Canis lupus familiaris: one gene and its partners. The protein of the gene in region 3 purifies or fractionates together with the protein of the main gene of each other region. This does not show direct contact. Links are inferred from orthologs where the notes say so. Each region holds a gene or a part of one and is shown on either strand. Other genes may lie near its edges.

What was found.
Region 1: the proteins of STK40 (region 3) and COP1 purify together in Homo sapiens (affinity purification with mass spectrometry; 3 studies listed by BioGRID and IntAct, counting the BioPlex papers as one, with this or other methods). This does not show direct contact. The link is inferred for Canis lupus familiaris from reciprocal best matches to the Homo sapiens genes STK40 and COP1.
Region 2: the proteins of STK40 (region 3) and TRIB1 purify together in Homo sapiens (affinity purification with mass spectrometry; 3 studies listed by BioGRID and IntAct, counting the BioPlex papers as one, with this or other methods). This does not show direct contact. The link is inferred for Canis lupus familiaris from reciprocal best matches to the Homo sapiens genes STK40 and TRIB1.

Annotation. Positions count from the first base shown.
Region 1 is NC_049228.1:23,348,825-23,354,779, reverse strand, and holds part of COP1 (E3 ubiquitin-protein ligase COP1), read right to left. Parts: intron 4,251-5,955; coding exon 4,107-4,250; intron 1,847-4,106; coding exon 1,738-1,846; intron 1,330-1,737; coding exon 1,248-1,329; intron 1-1,247. UniProt on the Homo sapiens protein: E3 ubiquitin-protein ligase that mediates ubiquitination and subsequent proteasomal degradation of target proteins.
Region 2 is NC_049234.1:23,757,261-23,762,671, reverse strand, and holds part of TRIB1 (tribbles homolog 1), read right to left. Parts: intron 3,957-5,411; coding exon 3,664-3,956; intron 1,030-3,663; coding exon 564-1,029; 3' UTR 1-563. UniProt on the Homo sapiens protein: Adapter protein involved in protein degradation by interacting with COP1 ubiquitin ligase. The COP1-binding motif is masked by autoinhibitory interactions with the protein kinase domain.
Region 3 is NC_049236.1:5,987,495-5,993,449, reverse strand, and holds part of STK40 (serine/threonine-protein kinase 40), read right to left. Parts: intron 5,529-5,955; coding exon 5,409-5,528; intron 3,878-5,408; coding exon 3,792-3,877; intron 3,419-3,791; coding exon 3,275-3,418; intron 1,258-3,274; coding exon 1,030-1,257; intron 234-1,029; coding exon 181-233; intron 1-180. UniProt on the Homo sapiens protein: May be a negative regulator of NF-kappa-B and p53-mediated gene transcription.

The DNA of each region.
Region 1 (5,955 bases), on a different chromosome or scaffold from region 3:
TTCTATTTTTCAGAGAAAGACTGACCAGTCACCACTTTTGAATAAATATTAATCTTCAGTACAAAAATATGAGTATTCAACTCAATAAAAGCTATCCCACATATATTATGAAAAAGAACATTTAACATTAATTAGTAAAACTTTGTATTCAAACATACAAATATCAACTATCATATGATACTCTAAATAATTTATAAATTCAAGGATAATTTCCTAAAACAACCAAGAAGAAACGTATTCCAATCTATACATACTATGGGTAAACAACTTGCTACTTTTTGTTTGGCGTAAAGTCCTGTCATGTTCCTGTCTCTTTTACAGACTAGGGCATGCACTACCATTACAAAATAAACTTTTCAACACTAGAGCTATCTCTGCCTATCTAACCACTAGTCTGGAGGTTACATGTAGAAAAAAATGGCAGGGACACCTGGGTGGCTCAGTGGTTTAGCGTCTGCCTTTGGCTTCAGGGCGTGATCCTGGAGTCCAGGGATCAAGTCCCACATCGGGCTCCTTGCATAGAGCCTGCTTCTCCCTCTGCCTCTATCTCTGCTTCTCTGTGTCTCTCATGAATGAATAAATAAAATCTTTAAAAAAAAAAAAAAAAAAGAATGGCAAAAAATTAAAACCATTAACTATAAGGTAAAAGAAATCTGTTAACAGGGCTTTATAAATCTAATGGTGAGCATAACCAGGCCAAAAAAACATTAAGGATAACTGAAAAAAAATGAATAGTAATGATGGATACACAGAGATGTATTGGGGACACCTGGGTGGCTCAGTGGTTGAGCATCTGCCTTTGGCTCAGGTCATGATCCTGGAGTCCTGGGGTCATGGGATCTAGTCCTCTGCACTAGACTCCCTGCGGGGAAGCCTGCTTCTCCCTCTGCCTATGTCTCTGCTTGTCTCACTATGTCTCTCATGAATAAATAATAAAAATTTTTTTAGAAAAGAGATATCTGTCTAAATATTTCAGAAAAAAAGTTTACTTGATGGTATATATAAAGGAATTGGTTATAAAAATATCACCATATGACATGAATCCAGAGAAAATTATTATAATGAAGATGTAGTATATACATTTTTCTTTCACTCCAAAAGAGATAGATTGTGGTGCTTAGATTATTTTTAGAATGATAATCACAAAGGATTGCTATGATTTCTAATAAATATCTGCACCTCTGCCACTAAAAGGAATTAAGTTGGGAGTAAGGAATTAGAGAAAGTAGAAGAGATTCAAATAGTACCTTTTGCATCATCAGAACCCGATGCCAAGAGTTTAGGATCCATTAAGTTAAAGTCAACACTCCAACACCTTTTCTCATGTTCCTAGACATAGAAGGAAGACAAAAAGTAGTATCAGACAGACATAGATCTTATAAGAAATTAAGCAAAAAGCTTGATACCAATTTATTGCTCTGGTGGGAGAGAGAAAGAACAGGCTACAAAAACAAATGAGATGCAAAGTAATTTCCAGGCTTTTTATATATACATATTTTATTGCTTTTGGAAATGCATTTGACACATTCTTCAAATGCAAAACAAGTCTGAAGAAATGTTTTAGAAAAGCATTATCTGCTATTACATAGGTATAAAAAATGCTAAATAGTGACTTTAAATTTGTAATTAAAAGCATTATTTGCTATACATAGGTATAAAATTGCTAAATAGTGGCTACATTTGTAATTACAATTAAGTAAAAATGTGAACCTTAAAAAAAAATAATATCCTATTTACCTGATAGACCTTTGACCTCTGTCCTGTGAATCCATCCCATAGGATGACAGTGCCTTCATAATCACTGCTGGCTAACAGATTCTTATGGTAACTACTCCAACTGATACAGCTGAAAGAAAGAAAGAGAGTTAAGCTTTACTTTATGTAGAAATAAGTAACAATGAATACAAAGAATTTTGATGTGTGCAGAAAGATTAGAACCCTTAAGAAATGGTCAACATGGCTTCATAATCATTAATCTGCCCACAACACAGCTGGGAAGAAATATATCAATTAACTCCTAAGTTTTTCTACTGAACTACCTAATAATGACCCTTACACCACTACTCACTCTGATCACTAACCAAAAGATGCACATAAGCCTAAAGCCACCACTGGCCAAATGTCAGAAATGAAAGCATGTCTATGAGTGTAAACAGAGGCTAATGGGACACAAAGCATGCCATAGCACAATGACAGAGACGTATTCAAATTGTGTAGGCCCCTGGATCAAGTTGTGCCAAAACGTATAAGTTAATAAACTAATCTGAACTGGGGGGGCACCTGGGTGGCTCAGTGGTTGAGCATCTCCCTTCACCTCAGGGTATGATCCTCGGGTCCTGGGACTGAGTCCCGCATTGGGTTCCCTGCAGGGCGCTTGCTTCTCCCTCTACGTCTCGGCCTCAGTCTGTGTGTCTCTCAGGAATAAATAAGATCTTTTTTGAAAATAAATAAATAAATAAATAAATAAATAAATAAATAAATAAACAAACAAACAAGCAAGCAAGCAAGCAAGCAAGCAAGCAAGCTAATCTGAATTGGGTTTCTGTGTTTACATTAAAAAAATCTCATCTAAAAAAAAATCTCATCTACTATAACCTTAGGATTGATTTTAAGAGTCAGAATTAAGCTTTTACCATTTATGGTTTCAGCTATTAAGTGCTCCAAAACTGAGAATACAACATCTAAAAATGTATGCTTTTGGTGAGACACATATGTGAATCATGTATATATAGTAAAGCTTAGGTATATTAAGGAAGAAGCCACTTAGAAAGCAATTAACCTAGATGACTTTTGACTTCAGGTCATAATCTCAGGGTATGAAATTAAGCCTCACGTTGGGCTCTGTGCTGGATGTGGAACCTGCTTGAGATTCTCTCTCCCTCTGTCCTTCCCTGCTCATTCTCCTTAAAAAAAAAGTGTAATCTTATAAAATAAGGATTGCTACTATGCCCTCTGTTTCATAATGGTTAAAAGCAGAGACTCTGCAATCAAACTGTTTGAATCCTGGCTCCTCCAGAGACTAGCTGTGTGATTTCAATCAAGTTAATTAACCTTTCTGTGCTTCAGCTTCCTCGTGTCTAAGATTGGGCAATAACAGTATCTAATAGGTCTACTTAAGATAAAGATAATGTCTGTCACATAGGAATTCAATAAAGTTATGTCTTACTCGTGCTGTTTTCTTTCCACTTAGGATAAACTATAACAGATTCTCAGTTGTGAGCACCACTGATGAATGAGCAGCCTCACAAATTATCAGCCTACCATTGTTATGAATTAATTAGGAAAGAAAAAGGAAAGCTATAACAAATACATTATATAAATACTGTAATACTTGCTAAATTATTAACATTATTAAAATGACTACACACATATATGTATGTTAATTCAGTTAAAAAAAGATACAAGGACAGTTGGAAAATGTTCACAGATATAAATAAATTATTAAATGATTTCCATGCATCATTCCAATTTAAGCCAGCACCCATGAGAATAGCTTAGGAAACTTGTTTTTAAAAATGTAGATTATAAAATTCCCCTGAGATTTTGGGATTGGCAGATCTAAAGTAATTTCTAGTTCCTGCACTTTTAACAGTACTCTAGATTTGAAAAGCATTCATTATGAGCTCTAACCCTAACCTATGAAAGTTAAATATTAGGCCCTCAATGAAAAGCAGCAAAATGTTCTTATAAAAACAATTCTTTTTTTTCTTAAAACAATTCTTAAAACTATAAACAATTATAATATGTGAAGATATGACATGCTAGGAATGGGTCAGGAATTTTTCCTGACTTTCAGACAGTATACATAGGCTAAAGTAATCCCTTATTCAACACCCCCTGGATGATCATTTACAACACATAATTTTATTTAAGTGAAGCAAAGAGGACTTTCATTTGTCAAAGAGAAAAACAATGACTACTAACCCCCACAGGGAAAAAGCAACCATAATCTGTAAGATAGATTCTGAAGTATTCTCTGTATACAATTACTGTTCACTATGAATGAGTAAGGAATCTCACAGAAAGGTAAAATAACAAACTCATACTAACTATAGATATTAAATATTTTATACACACATTATGTCTAAAAAAAATAACCTAAGTACCTGATTTTGGAATTGCAGGTCATTTCATTTTCAGGGTAATGAATATCCACCGCATCCTGAATGACTGTGCCATATTCATAGACTTTAATCTTCTTTGTAACCCCAGCAATTGCAAAATAGTCACAATCTCGGTCAAATTCAATACTATGGAAGAAAATGTGTATTTAGTTAGTAAGACTATTTCCCTATCCCTGTGACATTACAATGACAACATTTCAGGGGTTTTTTTTCTATTTCTAAAGTCAAAATGTCTATAAGAATAAGAGATTGACTTGAAATGCCCCCAAATTGTACTAGACTTTATGTTCAGATAAAGTCATGATCAAGACATACCACATTACAAGTGGTAGAGAACTGTGCATAGCTACACAATTCTTATAGCTACCCCCCAGTTCCTAGAAACATCACATGTTTTTCAATTCATCTTTAGTAAACCATATTAAAACCTACCCAACTATAAAGATTAACAAGTTGAATTATAAAAGTAGCAAGGAAAGATGAAAAGGTTTGGTATATTAAAAAATATGTTAGAAGAGAATTACCAAATAATCTCTTCATAAATCTATTTCCCTGCTACCATTTTGTGAGGATGACAGAACTTCCCAGTATGCAATGTTATTTTAATAAATTAGTACACAAACTGAATTACTGAAGCAATTAAAGAAAAGATGATGACAAAGGTATGAAATATACACAAAAATGGAATCATTAACTTATCACTATGTTTTCCCAAACTCATTTCTCACCTCCCAAAGATGATCTAACTTATGTAACTCCCAATAGTTTCTTACACCACAAAAAAGGGAAAAACTAAAAATCTCCTTTTTTAGGGTTACTTGGGGAATTCATCCTTCTCTTACTGACTTTTTACACAAGTTCCAAAATAAGATACTTCAAAGCAAAGCACACCTTATTCACCTTTATTGAACTTAACTTGGAGTCTCAACAAAGTTGTTATATAACCAGCAAGAAATATAAGTAACCTAATGGAAATAAGAGTGAAATGAATTATCACGTATTTCTCAAGAAGTTAAGAATCTGTTCTAGAAGCTTAGCTGTAAGGCTAGATAAGAATTCTCACTGATCTATAATTAATTACACAATAGTAACAGCTAACATTCACTGACCACTAAGCATAACCACTGGTATTAATTTATTTAATTCTCATAATAGCCCTACGAGACAGGTATTACCTTTATCTACATTTTACACACAAGAAAACTGAGAATTAGAGGTGAAGCAATTTGCCTAAAGTTAGTAAGCCTTTAAGTGGCTAGGATGATATGGTAGTACTCTGCATATATCAAGCATTCACTCAATGTGTATAAATACCTACACTTTTCTTTCTGGGTTACTTGTGATATCCTTTTGCAGAACAGTTAATGATTAGTTAATAATTTAGTTAAAAGCTTACCAAGCTAATGATGATGATGAATAAAAGGTACATAATATGAATATTTTGTATAAAAACACATTGAGATGTGCACTTTTCTTATAGCTTTAAATCCTTTCTTAATGTTATAACAATTTCATTAAATGTTATGGGCTATAGCACAAATCAGCAAATATTCCCTCCAATAAAATAGAACTACATGGCAAAGCAATGAATTTCTCTTTACAACAACCATAACTGAACTGCTGGTTCAGCTGTTATCTGCCCTATGGATTCTAATGTAGCACAGTTATATTGATGGCAACTACTTATCTATCCTGATTCAATTTATACCCATAGTGTAATGCCACGGAAGGAGAAATATTACTGTGTCTGGCAAAGAAGAGTTCTCAGAACTGAAATCCTATCCTTTACTGAGAAAGTTTGGGTATGGCTGAAACTTCAATCTAGATACTT
Region 2 (5,411 bases), on a different chromosome or scaffold from region 3:
TGAAGGAAGGGTGCGTATTAAACCAAACCAAACCAAGAACTTTCCAAGAGAGAAGCCGGGGGAGCGACAGTCTAGCTCCCAGAGACAAGGTCAAAGATGGCAGGTTTATTGGCCAACGTGATTTGTCACCCTGTTAAAATATGGTTATTGCCCAAAACGCCACTGTGCGACTCACTTCCTCTCCCTTTAAAATGTTCACGTCCATTTCACTTGGCCACACGCTGTAGGATATCCATACTCTTTGCCACCCCTGAAGATGCAGGAACCCCCACCCCCGCCCCGCCCCATCTGACAGCGAGACAGCGGGCCAGGGTTCGAGACAGCCGGCCAGGGTTCGTTGAGAAGGGAAACGACTTTGCAGGGCGGCCGATCGATCCGAATGTGTGCTGCTCAGATCAATACAGTCACTCGTCACAACAGGTAAGAGGGGGTGCCACGTCGAGTTCAGCAGCTACCAGCTTTACGCCATCACGTATCTGGTTGGCACCACGCCGAAAGGCCTGTCCATCTTTAGAAATGGAAATGCCATGTGTGAGAATTATGAGGTTTCTGAGGTTTGGGGATTAGCAGAAGAAGGAACTAATGTCACTGTCCTCTTGGTAGTCTGGAACAATCTGGTCTGAAGTTCCCATTTCTGAGTCAACGTATCCAGGTTCCAAGACAGACTCAAACCAGGGATGGAGTAAGATCTCCGGGGCAGTGAGTCTCTCGGAGGGCTCCCGTCTCAGGAGGCTGCGAATGAGGCACCTGGCTTTGGGGGAAATGTGGTCAGGAATGCAGAACTGTCCACGTCGGATTTTGGAGAAGAGGGCACTGGGATCTGAGTCATGGAAGGGGTATCGTCCCACCAAAAGGGTGTAGAGCATCACCCCTAGGCTCCAAACGTCTGCCGCCTTTCCGGAGTAGGTCCCCGTGGTGTTCAGAATCTCAGGGCTCACGTAGGCCGGGCAGCCGTGCTTGTCTGACAGAGCATCGTCTTCCCCCTTGATTATGTGTGTGTCTTCTAGACTTTCCAGTCTGAGCTGGCTTCTGCAGGAGAGGAAACAAGCTATTACTTCCAGATCGGCTGCTATGAAAAAACAAAGCCTCCTCTATAACAGCACCCACAGGCACTAAAAGCAAAGGCCCAAGGAATGCCATTTACCCCTTCATCCACTAAGCAGGGCCCTGCAACCACCCAGGACTCAGGATTTCACAAACCAATACAAACTGCAATAAACATTCGCAAAGTATCAAGAGCGCCTGGGGCGGAGGGTATGATGCAAAGCCCCAAATACTATTCATTAGGCTAGAGCTTAGAAGAGATATCCTAATAGGGTTACACAACTTACAAAGTTCACATTGCAGAAGTGGGAGCTTGTCTCAGGGGAATGCTGACATTTTTATACAGAAGCTGTCAGGGAAGAACAGTATATCCCTCCTTCTGGGGCGGTGGGGGGGGGGGGGGAGCTGAGCATCCTACAGGCCCATCTTCTTCTCGTGCCACTGACTGCTGGGGCTACATGGGCCCCCCTTCCGCATTACAGAACACGAGGCCCAGAGTCAAGGCTATCATGCTCACGTTGTCAGCACTCCTGCTCACGCCTGCGTGATAGACACACACAGGGAACTCTGTCTACCTGAGCCCAGGGCACGATAACCGTGACGGGAAAGGTGCCAGGAATGTTAATTACATTTATTGGGGTGTTTCATTGCAAAGAACACTTAGCCGGGACCTGGAGGTTATACGGGCAATCAGAAGTGGCTGGTGGATTTGAAGGATGCGGGGCCTCCGAACATCCGTACCCACGGATGGCACATCGACACCTGAACCTATTTCTTCTTTGTGGAGGTTTATCTTCCACATGGGGGGCTATCTCCTACATGGGGGGGTTTATCTTCTACATAGAGGGTTTATCTTCTACATGGGGGGTTTTATCCCCTACATGGGGGGGTTATCTCCTACATGGGGGGTTATCTTCTACATGGGGGGGGGTTTATCTCCTTCATGGGGGGTTTATCTCCTTCATGGGGGGGCTTATCTTCTATATGGGGCTCTGAAAAAAATCTTTAGGCAGAGGCTCTCTTCTGAAGCTGCAGGTGCCTCCTTATTCAGACGCACCTACCCATAGGTCATGGGTCCCCCAAAGCCCAGAGCCTTGTGGGGAACCTCTATCATCTGGTGGCAGACCGTGCCCCTCCCTGCTTCTCTGAAATAGCCCTGTTTCAGTAAGTCACTTGTTGTGAAGTCAAAGGCAAACATTTGGTGCTGGCTAATGGGTCAATTTCTTTTCCTCTCAAAGGTCTGGTTGTGTTTTTTTTTTTTTTTCTTCCTGCCTTCCTGTTCCCTGGAGTGTAGTATACATGTGCTAACTTCGTATGTCCTCAGCCTGACCTCCCCGTCGTTATGTAAAATACCCATTGGTTCTGTAAACGGAAAATATGACTCAACCCACACTGTCTGCCCCTGATTGGCTGCTGTAGTACTAAAACCCTGCACCTGTGCTGGTTCCCCGGCTAGCGTCAGCCTGCCATTGCTTAACCCTCGGGTTGCCAAACCCCGTGCACATGACATTCGCCTGTGCAATGCGGATTTCAAAAGCTAGTAAAGGAGGTGTGTAAGGCATGTTTCAGAAAATACATCAACATATCAAAGGAGCATGTTCCAGGAATTGGAAACTTCTCCATTGCAAATACTTTGCTTTTCTTTGCTAATCGGTTATGTTCCAATAAGTTTTGCAAGGTCAGATATAAAGCTATGCTTTATGGCAACTCAACCCTGTACTCTTTCCTACGGATCTGGAGGCAAGGGTAAAAATGCACAGCTGGGGGCAGCCCCCCCACACACACACAAATAACTGCAACAAAATAATACACACCCCTCCACAATTCTACAGGGGGTTTTTCCCTCCTTATCTTTCCAGAAGAGATCCGGCCCACCTCTTAAAGTCAAGTAAGGTCTATTCCCCGCGGCTTCCTGAATTCCCTTGCCTGAAACCTCAACTCTGAATCCTAGCGTCTCGTTATTCTCTTATCAAGCTCATCTTGTCCTTTATGAGGGAAAGTCACCATCTATATTTAGGAACCAATTCCAGCCAACATCCATTTATTATTCAATGTGGCTACTTTCTCAAGATGTATCCAAACAAGAGGTCTGAAAAGTCATCAGAGAATGTGAAGAGCAGTACTGGGGGCCAGCCCAAAGTGGAACAGGAGTAGGGTACAAAGGAGGAGAGCAGAATAGGGCTAATCCAACAGTTTAGCTCTGTCATACTTTTTAGGTACAAAAAAAAAAAAAAAATTAAAAAGCTCCCCGCTTGGTAGAAGCCAGGATTTGAAAACTTCCTTTAGGAGTCAATGCGGTGAGGCCGGACTGACCATCTGTTACCCGAGAAGAACTGACCTTTCTGATAACAATGGGGATAAACTTGATCCTGGAGTGGAAGTGGGGAGGGCATCCTGTCATCATGTGACATCCCACAGAAAGAAGCACCAAGGTGTCCCGGGGCCACATCCACGACAGTGCAGAATAAGCCATCCTTGGCCGTGGCTCCTGGGGAGCGGCCTTTCTAAATACTCATTCTGGGACAACCGAGCCCTTGGCTCTGATGCGAACCAACACTCTGTACCTAACCGCTTAACCTGCCCCGCAAGGCCACAGGAGGAGCTGCGAAGGCTGCTCACCTCTCCTCCGTGGAGAAGACGAATTTCCTAAGTTTCAGGTCCCCGAGCACGATGGCCGACTGATGGCAGTGGGCAACGGCGGAAACAATCTGCTTGAAGAGCCGGGCAGCCTCCTCTTCCCGCAGCCTCTTCCGGCTTCGCACATAGGAGTGCATGTCCCCAAAGTCCTTCTCAAAGAAGACATAGGCCTTGGTTTCCCCAAGGATCACTTCCACAATGCCAGTGATGTTCCTGTGTGACGGCAGCTGGATGTAAGGCCTGATTTTGTCCTGGTAGTGTTTAATAGGAAACACCTGCAGAGAGACGGTGACCCCATTTAGGAAGCTAGAAAAGCAGAGGCTGCCTCCTGAATGCCGGACTGCAGCTCTCGGCCTTCGGCCTTGGGTTGACAGTACGGCTCCCTTCATTTATCTCTGCACCACCACCACCACCCCACACCTTATGCAAGAAGCCTCAGCTGCCTCTAACACCCCAAACCAGCAACATAGAGGGCTCTGGCTAGCAGATGCCCACTGGGTTACTCTACGGATGGTTTAAAAGAGCTGTCTTCTATATATGTCGCCTCCTTTCACGGGGGCTGAGCCCTAAAGCTCGCACCCTATGTGGCCCTTCCTTGTTTGCAGGTGGGGGCTGCTGCAAGTAGCTGCAGGAAGCCCCACCCCCCCACCCCTCCCGGGATCTCCAGGAGCTGAAAATGCATGACCCCCTGCAGACCCAAAGCTCTCACCACAGAGAGCACAGAATGTGGTGACTCTGCAGCCTCCGAGTGGAAGCAGGGGCTGGGGAACATGCAGATCTGTCATTAGTCAGAAGGAACAGATGACTCGCAGAAAGACTGTGACAACAGAGCCTTAAACAACCTGCCTATACAGTCTGACTCAGGTAGAAACGGCCTTGAGTTAAAATTAGCACAGGATATGGGATGTTCTGTATGGTTTTTACATTTGTTTGTTTATCTCCAGCACCACCCCACCCCGAGGTGGGGGGGTGGGGGGCACAGAGCTCCCACCCTCCACCTTCACCAGGGAAATGGGTAGTCTCTCCTCTCAGAAGCTAGCTGGTCTCTTTAAGGGCCTTTTGTTTAGTCCGGTTACTCATATCCTAGACTCAACTGGAAACGGTGACACATGGGCTGTCACCATCTGGATTCAGCTATTATCTGCTCAGAGGAACTGGAAGGGGTTGCACAATGGCCAGACCCACCCCACCTCTGAGGCCTGGCTGCCCCGGCCCCGGCTAGATGAATCTCTGAGCCGCTCCGCCCCCCCCCCCCCCCCCCCCACCCCCCATCTTCCCCAAACCGCTCTGAGCCCCGGCGCCCCAGCGCCCGGGAAGAAAGGATTCCCCCTCCCCGTGCACCGGGCTGGAGCCCGCCTTGGAAATTTCATTCCCGTCGGACAGTAGGTGGCAGCAGCGAGCCTAGGGAGGGGGAGGCGGGTGGAGTTCAGGTGAGTTGCGGAAAACCCGAGAGCCACTTTAACGGAGGGGTGACCCCGTCTCTCGCTTGAAAAGGAGCAGCCCCGAGGCTCGTGGGGGACGTCGGGGCCGGGGGTGCACGCGGAGGATCCTGCTCCTAGGAGCCCTATCTGCCCCGGAACGGAATCTCTCATGTTCAAAAGAAAAACCGCGGGCCGGAAAAGAGAGAGCTGGGCGGCAGCGAGGGTTCCTAGCCGGTGTGGGCTTCCCAACATTTCTGCGCCGGGCGAAGGCCCCGGGCCGCCGGGGAGCCCACCTCAGACCGCTCCCTG
Region 3 (5,955 bases):
GCCACTCAGAAGGCCCTAAGATGCCCCTTGTAAGCAAGCACCTTATTCCCATGCGGCAAAGGGCAGAGGCAGGCATCCCATCCCCCACCCCTGGGATTTCCGGGGGACCTGGGGGCGCTGGGTAGTTGTGGCAGGTAGCCTGTGCCAGCTCCGAGGTTACATCGTTGAAGAGACTCTTACCTTTTATTGAGCACCATGTTTCCAAGCTTCAGGTCCCTGTGCACGATGTTTTTCTGGAAGAGCAACAGGCACATGGTTCGGACCGGGGACGACAGAGCCCGGGTGGGGCCCAACCTGTCACACGTGGGCTCTCCGGGTGTTTGGGAAGGCAGGGAAGACTCTGTCTCGTCGGCTCAGGCCTGGACTGCTCAGCCACCCGAGGCCTCCCCAACCACGGCTAGGGATGGGGCAATAGGTGAGCCCAGGCGGTCTCCGCCCCTCTCGGGGTGGCTTCCCCAGCTTTCTCCCCTCAGGGCAGCAGCTGGTGGGGAAAACCAGTCCTCACTCCCCCTCCAGCAAACATCCTGACAAAGCCACTAGCATCTGCCTGGATCTGCTGTCAGAGAGGAACCGTCACAGCTCTGGTGCTCGAAGAGTACAGGTTCTGCCCAAGGAGTTGCGTGCCCAGAAGAGGCCCTGGCTCTCCTCCCCTGTACCTCGGGGTGCCTGACACCCCAACCCTAGGAGGAGCTCAGAGACAGGCGGGGGCTGCCCCGAGGCCTCACTGTCATCCCCTCTGCTGGGAGGCTACGGGGCAGCCTCTAGACAGCCGGGCAGCTGCCTCCTGGGCCCTGCTGGGCCGCCCGGGCAGCCCTGTGCCTCTGTGGGTGCTCAGGTCACCCAGCCACTTTCCTGCAGGCTGCTGTGGCTGTGCAGCACACCAGGGGAGGTTGCGGGGCCGGAGCTGCTTGCACTGAGCAGCAGCACGAGGGTGGCCTTCCACGGCTGCAGGGCCTGGAGGCCCCTCCGTCACCGGGAGCCAGGATAGGCCAGCCAGCGGCGGAGGACGTGCAGAAGGGCAGACGTCACCTGGTGCAGGGCCTCCACGACGCGCACCACGTCGTAAAAGATGACCACGGTCTCCCGCTCACTGAGCCGCTTCTCCTTGATGACGTAGTGCTGTAGGTTGATCAGGTCGGCAGTCTTGTCGCTGAAGTCGTGGGCACAGAGGCAGTCGAGGACAAGGCAGATGCGCTTCTTCATCTTCTTAACCATCCGGCTGGATTCCGTGTCCTCAACGATTTCACAGGTGCGGTCCTGCGAGGCAGGGGCAGACCAAGGCTTGGCTGGGGCCAGCGGCGCTGGGGGCTCGGGACGCCCCCCCCCACCCAGAGTTGGAGGCCTGGGGCCTGGACCTGGGGTCCACTGCGGAACACCCGGCTTCCTCCGTGCCAGGGCCCAGCCCAGCTGAGGCCTCAGATTAAATGCCTCGTGATCTGGTCCTGATGCACGGGGTTTGGATCGGGGCTGAGCATGAAATGCCAAAGGGACGCCTGAGCCCAGGGTGCGGGTGGCAAGCCCAGGGCTTCCAGTCGTGACCCAGGTCCCGAGATAATAGAAGTCAGGTGTCCCATGGGCCCAAGACAAGTGCTTTCACACAGATGCAGGACCCCTGGGCAGCCGCGAACCGTGGGTCTGTTGGGGTTCAGGCTCCGGCTTGTTCCAGCTGTGGGACAGGGGGCAGTTCACCTCACTTCTCTAAGTCTTTGGTCCCTTGTCCGTCAAAGGGAGCTAGCACCCTCCCTCACAGGCTGTCCAGAGCAGACAGCAACCCGTGCCTGTGCTCAGGATGTGGGTCCTGCCACCAGCATGTGTTGGGCCCATTTTCCTTGCCAAAAAGATATTTCTTTTTCTTTTCTTTCTTTCATTCTTTTTTTTTTCTTTCTTTCTTTCTTTTTTAAGATTTTATTTATTTATTCATGAGAGACACAGAGAGAGAGAGGCAGAGACACAGGCAGAGGGAGGAATAGGCTCAATGCAGGGAGCCTGATGTGGGACTTGATCCCCGGGACTCCAGGATCACGCCCTGGGCCGAAGGCAGGCACTAAACCACTGAGCCACCCAGGGATCCCCATCTTTTTTTTTTTTTTTTTTTTAAGATTTTTAAGAAAGTAATCTCTACACCAAATGTAGGGCCTAAACCTACAACCCCTACTGATGAGCCAGCTCAGGGAGACGCTCAGTGTCATCCCCAGCAGACCGATGCTTGGCTCTGGGGGACTGCGGGGGGCTCTAATCACCCACGTTCTGTTATCCAAGATGATACGGGGGGCGGGGGGCAAGCTCTGGCAGGCATCAGAGATCATGCACTGTGGACTCCCCATCACCCTCGGTGTGGTTTCACGTGGAAGGGAAACACTGATTCTCAGAGTTGGCTCTAATCGCACACCTAACAATAAAGCCCTCGGTAGGGCGTGTGGGGTCGGGGTGGGTTGGGTTGCATTTTGCCTCGATTTTACCCAAGAACTCAAGCTGATGGGCAAGTAAGTGCAATGAGCACGTAGGGACAGCTCGGGCCGCGCACAGGCATGCTCACCCTCCCGAGCCCCCTGCGAGCGAGCAAGGCAGGCATCCGTCACTGCCTCCATTCTACGGATGAGGAACCTAGGGACTGGACGTGACTTGCCCCAGGTCACACAGCCTGAATCTGGGGCCGCCGGCGCTGAACCTCTGTGCCTCCTGAGTGCGGGTCCATCTGGCGAGAGTGGCCCTGGCCAGCGAGTCTAGCTGGGGGCCCCGCGGAAGCTCTGCTGGGGGCCTGAGCGGGAGGCCTCCCGGGCGCCCTGATGCGGGCCTTCCTCATTTCTGGAGACACCAAGTCGGTTCAGCCCCGAGGAGGGCTCTTCGGGCTGGGAGTTATTCACTAGTGCCTTCCCTATGGGACCTGGGAATCCGGGCACACTGGGCAGGAGGCTCGGGGATACTTCTCAACAGCTGGTATACCTGGGCAGGCCGGAGGATGGCTGGCACCCAAACCAGGGATCCACGGGTGGCCCTCAGGGCACGTCCCTCCTCGTCGCCCCTCCCACCCTGGCCTGGCCCACTCCTGACACGGCAGGAAAGGGCCCGGGATTGACATAACGTCATGCTTTCCCCCTTTCTGAGGAAAGTGACCCTGCCAAGAAAGGGGCACTCCCAGCAGGCCGCGAGTGCTACCGCAGGAGAGGCCAGGCCTGACCTCCAGCCCCCCACCCAGGAGGTCCTGGTGCACCCGGCGTGCCGGGCGGGCTGCTGGAGGGACCCACCCCCCGGGGATGGCCCCTCTGCCACTCACCTGGAAGAGCCCGTGGTGGTGAACCACGCCGTCCTGCGTGTGGAGGAGGGAGAGCAGAGAGTACTCGGTGTGTAACAGCATCTTGCCTTGCCTCTCCTCCTGGCTCTCTATTCCTTGGTCCCCCCTCTCCTCAAGGGTGAGGATCTTTAGGGAGGCACACACGCAAAAAGGCCAAAAATCCAAAAAAAAAAAAAAAAAATCCTGACTTTACAAAGCTGACTAGAACAGGATGAGCCGGGGCGGCGGGGGTGGGGTTGGGGGGGTGCTCAGGTCTGGTACATGACACCTGCACGCACACTCGCACGGGCACGCACAATGTGCAGGGCTTTTCTCAACGTGACAGCAGTGTGACTCTCGCTCATCGAGCTCTCGAAATCAGGCGTGTTCGCAGCGAGACTGCGTGAGCCCGAGTGAGCACTTCCCGGGAAGAAATGCTGCTACTTTGGTTTGCAGGTGGTGTGGGTGTGAAGCTGGGGAGGGGAGAGCAGCCAGCGGCCACCCAGGGCGCCTCACTCACCTTCAGCTGATAGAAGTCATCCGTGCCGTCCTTCCTCGCCAAACACTGCACGATGCTGGGCACCGGGGAGTTGCCCAGGCGAGGGCCTACGGCACACAGAGCTGGGCTCACTTCTACCCCCCCGCGTCTCGTGGACCACGTGGTCTTTCTGCACCCCCCACAGCAGCTCACGGCCACCAAGCTGCCCCCGCCCCCAGGTCTCCCGGGAGATCCCCACAGTCTCCCCTCCAAACATGGAGGAGTGTGTGCGACCCCCCGAGGTCCACCTGGCTTCTACGGGCATGTTTCTCAAACATGGGGGTCTCCGACAGGGGTGTGCACCAGCACCTGAGGAGCACGTGTTCACAGAAGGGGGCCCAGCGGCCACCTGGAGCCTGAGTCGGCACCTCCAGGGCGGGGCGGGGGGGCGGGGCGGGGGCGCTACAGCTTTGGTGAGACCCCTCGCAGCGTGGGGTGGCCGCCGGGCCCCCCTTGGACAGGCCGGGGAGCTTCTGTACTTCAGAGATGTCCATGCTCCTTTTCCCTTGCCAGCGTCCCACCCAGGGCTCAGAGCAGAAGTCACGTGAGGTCACTGTGTCACTTCACCGTGCGTCACTGCTCTTAACATACAGCCAAGGGCCGGTAGGACTTGGTTCCTGCCCACCTCCCTGGTTACGTGTCGTGTCCCCCCCCCCCCCCCCCGCCCCGTGGCCATGCTCCAGCCACACAGGGCACCTGCGTACTAACTTGGGAAGCGCTTTCCTGCCTCTGGGCCTTCGCCTTTGCACTTCCTTCTGTGTGGAATGCTTTTCCCCTGCATTCCCCACGGCTGGCTGCTCTGCAGCTGTCAGCCCAAACCTCCGTCCTCGGACAGGCCTTCCTGGTCTCACATGGTCTTGTTTACCTCCTTCAAGGCCCTTACGGCCCTGTTGGTGACCGTGTGCGTTGTTTACCCTGTTCCTTTCCCCCAATAGCCTCTTAAGTTCTCTGCGGGCAGTTCTGGTCTTTCTTGTCCACGGCTGCGCCCCTAGCGAACAGCCTAGGCCCGGCGCATGGCCGATGCCACCCTGTGTCCCTGAGTCTGAGACGCCGCCTCAGGGCGAAATTCACACTGGGTCTCCGGCTGATGGAAGGGTCAGGGTCCTCAGAGCCCACTTCACCCCTGCACCCTGAGCACAGCAACCCTGGTTCCTGGGGCCTCCAAGGCCTACGGCTCTTGTGGACCACAGGGCACACCCAACTCCACAGGACTTCTGTGCCTTATATAAGAAGTCTGGAGGGCCGCACCAGATGCCGGGTGGAATGAACTGTGCCCTCCAAGGATGGCCAGAGGAGTGCCTTGGATGATGGGCCGTGGGTTCTGATGCAGCTCGTGTGCCTCCCCTGTGCGCCATGGGGGGCGGGTGCAAACGGGGTGCTCTGGGGGAAGAAACAGCCTAGCTCTTGGCTGGAGCTGGTCGGGACTGGGGAGGCTACAGCAACAACGGCAACTCGGGCGCAGCAGGACCTTGAGGCTCCAGGTCCCCCACGGGCACAGCGGGACCACACTCAGAGCAGCAGGGCTCGGGCCGCCCCACGCTGGGGGCTGTGGCACTCCCCCTGCACCTGCCCCCCGCGCCCCAGCCCCCCGAGGCTTACCCAGGATGAACGGTCCAGCTCTCTTTGCATTATTTCCGGAAATGCCACCTCCTAGAGCCTTGGCCCTGGCCGACGTTTCCCCAGCTCCTCTGTCCGATGCTCTCCGCTTCATTCTCAGCTCTAGACAAGAAGAGGAGGCCTCCTCACTAAGCAAGGCAGCGAGTTTCCCCACGCGAACCCAGCCTGCGAGCCTCTGACTTGGGGATGCGTCACACAGCTGCGGCTGCTGTTCTCCGCCTGCCCCCCTCCCAGAGGAGCATCAAAGGTTCCCAGTGACAAAGAGCCACAGCTCCTTTCCTGGCATTAATCAGGGGCTCGGGGTGGGGGGGGCGTCCTTCCAGGCAGCATATACTGGCTACCGAGGTGGGCAGCCAGCCTGCGTTAATGGGGCCAGTCAAAGGCAGAGGGGACGACGCTGCTTTGTGCAGAAGCAAACTGGGGTCCCCAACGGACCACCCCAGAGACAGAGGAGACATGGCCCGGAAGCTGTTCCCAACACGAGGCCTTCCCCCGAAGTACCTGCAGCTGCGTGGCCTGAAGTAGTGAA